2 linked regions of the Bombyx mori genome follow. The protein of the gene in region 2 interacts with the protein of the main gene of each other region in a pairwise test. Links are inferred from orthologs where the notes say so. Each region holds a gene or a part of one and is shown on either strand. Other genes may lie near its edges. The genes, in order: serine/threonine-protein kinase fused and Smurf2.

Evidence for each region.
Region 1: the proteins of Smurf2 (region 2) and serine/threonine-protein kinase fused interact in binary tests that used the Drosophila melanogaster proteins (3 or more experiments, as listed by UniProt). The link is inferred for Bombyx mori from reciprocal best matches to the Drosophila melanogaster genes Smurf and fu.

Annotation. Positions count from the first base shown.
Region 1 is NC_085116.1:10,507,945-10,512,498, forward strand, and holds the start of serine/threonine-protein kinase fused, read right to left. Parts: upstream 3,099-4,554; 5' UTR 2,912-3,098; coding exon 2,801-2,911; intron 2,435-2,800; coding exon 2,175-2,434; intron 1,691-2,174; coding exon 1,522-1,690; intron 588-1,521; coding exon 432-587; intron 309-431; coding exon 118-308; intron 1-117. UniProt on the Drosophila melanogaster protein: Probable serine/threonine-protein kinase; maternally required for correct patterning in the posterior part of each embryonic metamere. May be involved in control of cell division during metamorphosis and ovarian development. May interact with costal-2.
Region 2 is NC_085123.1:10,445,335-10,449,663, reverse strand, and holds the start of Smurf2 (E3 ubiquitin-protein ligase SMURF2), read right to left. Parts: upstream 2,941-4,329; coding exon 2,886-2,940; intron 2,782-2,885; coding exon of another isoform or gene 2,743-2,781; intron 2,601-2,742; coding exon 2,459-2,600; intron 1,983-2,458; coding exon 1,882-1,982; intron 81-1,881; coding exon 1-80. UniProt on the Drosophila melanogaster protein: E3 ubiquitin-protein ligase which accepts ubiquitin from an E2 ubiquitin-conjugating enzyme in the form of a thioester and then directly transfers the ubiquitin to targeted substrates.

The sequences.
Region 1 (4,554 bases), on a different chromosome or scaffold from region 2:
AATTTTGTAAATGTATTTAAAATTAATTTTTTAAATATTATTCTGTGTTGAAGTTCTTTTAACTTTAACTCTGATATTAATTACAAATCTGATATATCTGTAAGTAATTTTTATTACCTTGCATTCCCAATGCATATTTTTTCCCGCTGCAATTGCTTGGCTTCTTGCTGACTGTGTGTTAAAGGCTTGGTAAATGGTGATTCACTCTGGACGTCTTCTGGTAGAATAAGAATGTGACCAGCTACAAATGGATGTTCCAATATTTCTGGCCAGCTCATTCTTTTCAAAGGATCTTTATGCAATAAGCCCTAAATAAATATTTTAATACTATTAAACTAATGGTACAAATAGTATAACTTAATTAAACGTAAAATGTTAAATTATTTGTGCAGTTTTAAAAGCTTGAAGTGAGAGCTCAAAAGCAAACAAACCTGTAGGAAGGTCCGAGCATTAGTGCTGATGAAACTAGGCCACTGTACAGGTTTGTGTCTAATCATGCGGACAAGTTGCCATATAGACATTGTACAGAAAGGTGGTTGCCCAGCAATTAGCTCATATACAATACAGCCAAGTGACCATAAGTCTGCCTGAAAAAAATACACAAAATAAAAATACAATTGAGATCTCAATATAATGTCTCAAAATAGGTGTGCTCAAACACATTGAGATATCTATGGGCTCAGGTAACCACATAGCACAAAGTGGCTTATTCACCCATATTATTATACTTAAAAAAAAACAATTTGGATAATTATTATATTGATATTTAGTCAGTATTGTGATAGCAAATTTTTTTAACTCCTGTTGTTATAGGTGCTGAAATTTTCCACAAGGAGCCCTGTAATGTACAAAAATGTTTGCAACTCTTTAGGATTAATAACAATATTCCATGAGGTTTTGATGCATATTTGTGCATAAAAAGTGACAGAAATATCTGTATAAAATGAAGTTTTAACGATATAATCACTTTTGTTTATAGCAAAGTGATTAATTAATATATAAACCCTACCATATATGCATACATAAAAATATTGTTGAATAAACTATCATTAGCATAAATTCATGTTTTTTTTTTTTTAATTACGTACAGGAAAATCTCTGAAATTATTGATTTATATTAATTAGGCTAAGGACAAATTAAAATAAAAGTACTCTAAAATATGTCAATTATTGTTATAAATAATGTTTTACTAAGAATAATTAATGTAATTTTGAAAATTGAAAGTATTACTATATAATATAATAGCATAGCTGCATTGATGGAACAGCATGCATACTAAGTATCCATACTTCCACACTATACAAATATTATAAATGTGAAAGTGTGTTTGTTATTAGATTGTGTATTTGTATGCCCTTTCACATCAAAACAAAGCAACAGATTGACCAGTTTTTTTTTTTTAATTATAGTTTTACTAAGAATAGTTAGGTCAGACGGAAGACATAGGTAAAAACATGTCATCTCCACAGAAAATTACAGTATAACTCTTTGTTTATATAATGCTATTTTAATATAATTACCTGATGATCATATGGCTTCTCATCAATTAACTCGGGGGCCATGTACAATGGTGTGCCTTTGATGGATGTTAAAATGTGTGTTGCATTTGTCATTATTCTTGCAAGACCAAAGTCACAGAGTTTGGCACGTCCTGTACTATCCAATAGCACATTTTGTGGCTTGAGGTCTCTAAAATTGTTATTTTGTATGATAAATGTTCAGGAATAATATAAAATCATAATAAATGAATCATAGATATTTCTATGATTATTTTCTTTCTCAATTTTATGCAATGAGAATTACTTCAATATCCAATTTCAACGTTAAAAGCTCAGATCAAATTAAATATTAACTATAAGAACAATAATAACTTTCTATCCTACTCTCAATTTTTTTACAAATTAATCTTTTTATTTAAATAAATCTTAATAGATTCAGTATCCAGAACCAATCAATATAACTGTCCACATTGAGATATAAGATGAATGTCTCTATTATAAGCCAGGCTATAGAGAAAAAATGAATAAATTATACTGATTTCACCTAGCTATGCCCCCTGCCAAGGTCCAAAAAATGTTTAGATATAATTATTATTTACATCAATAATGATATAATATTAATAATGTGTGTTTAGTATTATTATTTGATATAAAATATGAAACAAACAAGTTACCTATGTAAAACTCTATGAGAATGTAAGTAGTACAGTGCAGACACAAGGTCCCAAGTAATCTTCTTCACTTGTTCTTCATTAAGACAACCCTCCTTAGCCAATATTCCATGTAGTTCTTTCTCAGCATATTCTGTGACAACTACCAATTCTGTATCAGTGTCGAAACTGTCTATCATCCGAATTATGTTTGGATGATTCAATTGCCTCTGTATGTCGCATTCTTGCTTCAAACATTTTAAGTCTTTAGACGAGCGACCTTTCTGAAAATGTTGAATTATTGTGTAAGAATATTTGTTTATTAACTAATGTGGATGACGAGAGGTTTGACCGTGATATCTATGACAGCGAAGACATTGGGATCATGATAACTGAATAAGACCATTTAAAATTTTACTAGTAAGAAAACCTGGTTAATAACATTCTCTGTGTGTACAATTATTATTTTATCACACTTTATTAATGATCTTATTAAATATATTATTTTGGAAATAGTGGAAATGAAGATTTAATAAGCACTCGCAAGTTTTTTTTGTAATTTATTTGTATTGATGGTATACATTTATAGAAAAAAATTAGGAAATCATGAAGGCACCAAGTATTTAAAGTCATAAAAACTTAATAAATACCTTCCTTATCACTTTCAAGGCTACTACAGCATCGGTATCTTTGTGTTTTGCTTTAAAAACACGTCCAAATGAGCCTTCGCCGACGAATGAATTTATAACGTAGCTATTCATTTTAAAATGTAAAGTTGTATATCTATTATGGTGTATATATGGTGCTAATATAGATCCATTAATTTTGAAACTTCCTGTTTTTATTTATTGATTTGCATTTCTCTGCTCCAGTCGTCGTACATATGTATTGTAAATAAACATAAAATATTTTGTTCTCTTCGTAATGTAGTAATTTTATTTTTCCAAATAGAAAGGCAAAAGTATCATACCATACAGCCTAATCTTTTATAAATTTATTTTATTTTATGAAATATGACATTATGAAATAAAATGAAGTGAAACATGACATGAAATGAAATGAAGATGATTAATTTGAGACATTAATCAACTGGGATAAAATTAAATGAAATATGATGAGATTATATGCGATGAAATATAATCTCAGTAAAATGGTGGTCATTTACTGATTTTTTCAGTGGACTTTTTGAAGGATCCCGAGAAGTTACGTCCAGCGACTTTGTTTCATTTTCCCATATTTGTGCACTTTCACAGATAATAAACAGTTAATAAACCAACGTTATTACACATTTAAACCTGAAGAAACACTAAATAGACAATACATAATATCATGTACGTTAAAAGACTGGAGCAGAGAAATGCAAAACAATAAATAAAAACAGGAAGTTTCAAAATTAATGGATCTATATTAGCACCATATATACACCATAACAGATATACAATTTAGAATAAATGAATTTATTGTAAAAAGAAACCGTGGGGTGCATGGTTATAACAGTTATAAATATTTTGATAATACATATCCTGAAAACCACCCACACTTTTTTTACAATAAGATCATTTTTTTCTTACACTATTTTTAATTCAAATTTATTAAAATTTATTTTCTATTTTTAGTTTAATTTTTATAAAAGCTTATTTTTTTTAGTAATTTTAAACTATTATTTTCAATCTAAAACCAAAGAATCGATTCGAGCGTGGAAAATTGAAATTCCTTGTTTGTTGTTACAAAAAACGACCACAAAATAATTTACAATAGCCGGCTTAGGAAAGTGGCGAGGTCTCTAGACCAAAAGCGATCATAGACGCGGTTTCTTTGAAAAAGCAACCCGACCTATTAGGTAGCCTTCTTATCATATTTTTTTCTCCTACCTATTCGCCGGGAATTATTACAACTACGGTTAGATGAGCACACAGGCTCAACCTGAGAGAATTTGCTAAAATCAGCCCTAGCAAGGGCAGTGCTTCGCAGAATCTACCACTGAATCGGACCCACTAAGAATATCCAACAAGAAACTCAGTGGGCGGCGAAGTGTTCGACATGCAACTTAATCCACAGACATAATCGCCTGAGTTTTCCCCGGATATTCTCAGTGAGTGGCTCCATAGATAAGACCAAATGATTCATTGGTTACATTAGGTTAGCTACAAATTTATTTTCTTTACATTGTTTGAAGATATTTCATAAAACCTTATTCGAATATTTTTTTCAATAAATTCTTCATACTTCGATTCGGATTAATTCAAAGGTCAACCTTTTTTGAAAAGAATAGCTTCATAGCGAAGTGAAATTGTTATTGATTTATCTGAAATTGTTTTTTATTACATTAGATGGGTGGAGAAGCTCGTATACAGCCTGGATTTGGACGGTTACCACAGTTCACGGACATTTTGACCTGAATGCC
Region 2 (4,329 bases):
CATAAGAGAAATTATGACCTGGCCTTTGACTCCACACGTCTCACCAGACTGTCCATCTTCACAGAGTTCTAGACATTGGTCTGTAATATTTTTCATGAGTTTATTATTTTAATGTTAAATGACTATTTACTTACTTTTATTCTTTAAAAAAATATCATTACACCTGCCACTAGAGCAGACTCTGTCCCTGCTACCATGCAACCATGATAGTATTCTTTTCACAAAAATAATTTATATCTGTATATTTTAATATTCATATGCACACATCTACTGCACTGAACCACAACCCACACACACACACACACTGAACTGGCATGTTACACAACATGTGAGATTAAGCTGGTAATTTAACATATTAATCAAAGTTTGGATTGTACTGCTAGTGGTAGGCAGCCAAAATCCCTGGCTATATTTTGTATACGAGAGTATAAGTTGCATTTAGGCATCACTCACATTCAAGTAGGTCAAAGACAAAAATTAGGTATTATTAAAAAGTGTGTATCTGTTACTGAACAGCATTACAACTTTTACTTTTGGAGGGAAATTGTCTCATTAGTTTCATAACATTTTTCTTTTTGATGTCATTCATCTTCTTAAGCTGTAGTATAAGTAGATATTATACTTATGTGAGAAAACAAGTTTGTTTCACATCAAACCAGTTTCTTTAATTTGATTACCTAATTATGTGTCATTTGTGGAGGAAAAAAATAATACTGTGCATACCTATATGTATCATTCTTAAATAAAAAAGTGTGTCAACTGAAGATATATGAGGCATTCTAGTGCAAGCTTTTGAAGGATTAATTTCCCTATCACAAAAAATTATGTGTCAGGGTCTACTCTATCTCTAGATAACAACTTTATTTATTACATAATATACAATCTCATGGCCTATCTTGTGTTAAGTAGTCACTGGACCACATAGACTTAACAATATAAATAGCGTAATCCAAATTGAAACATTATAATTAAATATTTGTTGTAAACTATGGCTGTACTTTTCAAACCAGTGCACCATTAATGTTTTCCAGTAGAAATAGGCAAGGTTGTGGTATCAATCTTATGCAGGCTCACGAAGTACCAGTAAAATTACGTTATCATAAAAAGCATTTTAGGCCACAATGGCTATAAAATAAAATGTTTAAAATATTTAAAAATACCATATCGACGCTTGAAAGGCAAACGTGACTAAGCGCCAATAACTGCTTTGTACATAAATGATAGACAATAACCGTATTCGATGCGCAAAAAAATAATATTTCTAGGTCTATTAAAATCATTTCAATCCTACAGCTACTAGCTAGATTCTACTGCAGCTAGATTCGTTAAAATAAATTTTGTTTTCAGGTATTTCAATTTTAAATTAGTCTACTGTAAAGTTTACGCATTGTCGCTTAGTCACTTTTGCCTTTCAAGCGTCGATATGATAAAATAAGGAATGACACAATTTTTATGTCATTGCACTTCTTTTTGCAATAATGAAATATAAAATATCAGTTTAAATTATTCATGATGAAGGACATCTTTTTTATTTATAATATCCTAAATCTTAGAGATTTGCAGAGATAAACTTATCAAATACAATGTTCAAGATAATTCAACTTCTTATATGAAATAAAACAAACAATATAATCAAAATAGGTTATCATATTTATGGAGTTGCTGATGATTTTAAAAATACTATTCATAACTTTAAAGATTCCACACTGAATGAAGAATGTTGGCAATGTTTATGATTTTTTTAAATTTCAAATTAAGTATAAATCTTTAAAATTATTCTACTTTTTTTTTGTAAAATAGCTGAAACATTCATCATCTTCTCTACCACATTTATATTCAGAAATAAAAAGTGTTAAGTCTAATCAATCGTAAGGTACTTACATCCTGTATCTTTTAGCTTATGTACAGTTGATGGTTGTATACGAACACATCCTAAAAAACCAGACCCTTGCCTTTTGTGGACTTTGCGTTGGTTCCATACACTGTAATCATTTTTGTAATTGTAATAACAACTTAAAACTCAATGAATGTATAATTTGGCTAAAATCCGTTCATTAAGATTTTGAAGAACTAAATTTTTTTAATTAATAAGTTTTTTGCTTTAGATCTATTGTTTTTATTTTCAGTTTATACTATGCTATTTCAATGCCTTATTAAGTATATGAGCATATAGCCGAACTGATGGCGAATGGCAACATAAATAATTAAAGGATAAGATAAAAGTTAAAACGACAATGCTTACATTCTTAATTGGTTTGAATGTTCGTGATAAAGTTATTTAATGAAAAATAGGAACACCATGTTGTTATTGATTTTACTATGATAATATTAGTGAGTGCTTACATTCAACAAACTTTCATAAGTTTGGAGTGCTTATAAAATTTATATAATATATTATTTAATTAATTGATAAAACATCATAATAATCAATTTACTGAATATTTCTATCAATACCAACCTTATGGTAATTCCATCTCCTTTGCTTAAATAAAGATCATAATGTGTATTCCATTTTGGATCAAGTGTTGCTTTCACTGTATTTGTTGAATATACTTGGCCACTGCCGTCGACTGATATTTTGGCAAAAGGATCTGGCAAACCTACAAGGACAGGATATATACTTCACACCACAATTAGGTACTATCATGGTCATGAAAAGAAAAATTGTATGTTAGCATGCCATAAATTTCGTTTCACCTTGAATAGTAATAATATGCGTATATCGAAGTTGGCTTTACTTACGAAAGAGATCTTTTCGGACCAAATTCCTTGCACATATAACTAAAACAAAACAATCAAATAAGTAATATGTATAGAATGTCATTAAAACTTAAATACGATCATACGAAGTCCACGAAACGAGTGTTTCGTTATTGGCTACTCACTAGTTAGCCTAATTTTTTGGGCTCCATATTTACGATTTGACATGGGCGTCGACATTTTATTATAAAATAACAAATTAAGTTCGATTTAAAAAAACATTTTACACAAAATAATTAACTTCTAAACTTCGGTTCGCCATTTTTCTCATCAATTTTTTCCCCGGCCAACAGTCACAAGACTTTATAGCCTACTTTTACTATTTGATAATTGTCTATGCTTCAGGAATTTCCTCTTTCATACTATGGATGGACAAGCTATGCGTTTGTTTATTAATAAAATTCATCTCTACGAGGGAGAAAACAATTTTATTGGAAAACAATACAATTTTAACGTGAGCATAATGTTATTAATGTTTTCTACCTATAGGTATCTAACCTATTATACAGTGTGCTTAGTGTGCACTAATTCGCACTAAGCATACAAAAAGAATATTTAAAGTTTGACCGCCTAGTTAGTTCAGTGTTTAGTGATGCTGACTATAGTACCACGAAGTCTGGGTTCGACATTAGGTTTGGCATTGTATTTATTTAAAAAAAATCAGCATTCGGGGTCTCAATGCAAAATTTCGGATGCCTGGCGATCTGAAATTATCGTGGCCCAAAATACTCATAACGAATGATCAAGTCAATGTCAATACATTACCCACACGATTTCAAAAACAGCTTATACGGTGAAGTATGTGTAATAAAATCACACTATTACTAATAAATTTGCGTATTTAGCTTACCTCCTCAATACGAAGTGTGTAGTGAGTTCGTCTGCCCATTTATGGAAAAAGGGTTTTTGAATTATAATATGAAATATTTTAGGAGCAGTTGTTCAATTCGATACTCGCGTGGAGTATCCCTGTAACCTTCCGAGAGTATCGGGATACTTGGGGTTGTTTTATAAAGCACCAGTCCGGCCTTGCATGGAGTACTGCTCCTATTTCTGGACCAGGGCTCCCAAATACCAGCTTCTTCCATTTGACCCCATACAGAAGAGGGCCGTTCGGATTGTCGATAGTCCCATTCTAACAGATCGTTTGGAACCTCTGGGTCTGCGGAGGGACTTCGGTTCTCTCTGTATATTGTACCGTATGTTCCATGGGGAGTGCTGTGTGTGCTTAGTGCGAGTTTCTTAACGTTCTCGATAGTGTAAAAGTTAAGTCAATTTTGTATGCAGTTGGAACAGAGCCCCTAGCGGCAAACGTACGTAAACGATCTCATTCCATACAAACATGAGCTAACTTTTACGCTATCGAGAACGTTAAAAAACTCGCACTAAGGACACTGAGGAATTGTTGGAGATGATCCCCTCATCTCCTTTTTATCATCGCACCTCCCGCAATCGGAGCAGACTTCATCCACATTATCTGGAACCGCTGCGTTCATGGACAATGCGTTTCCAGAGGTCTTTTTTGCCACGTACCATCCGGCTATGGAATGAGCTCCCTTCCACGGTGTT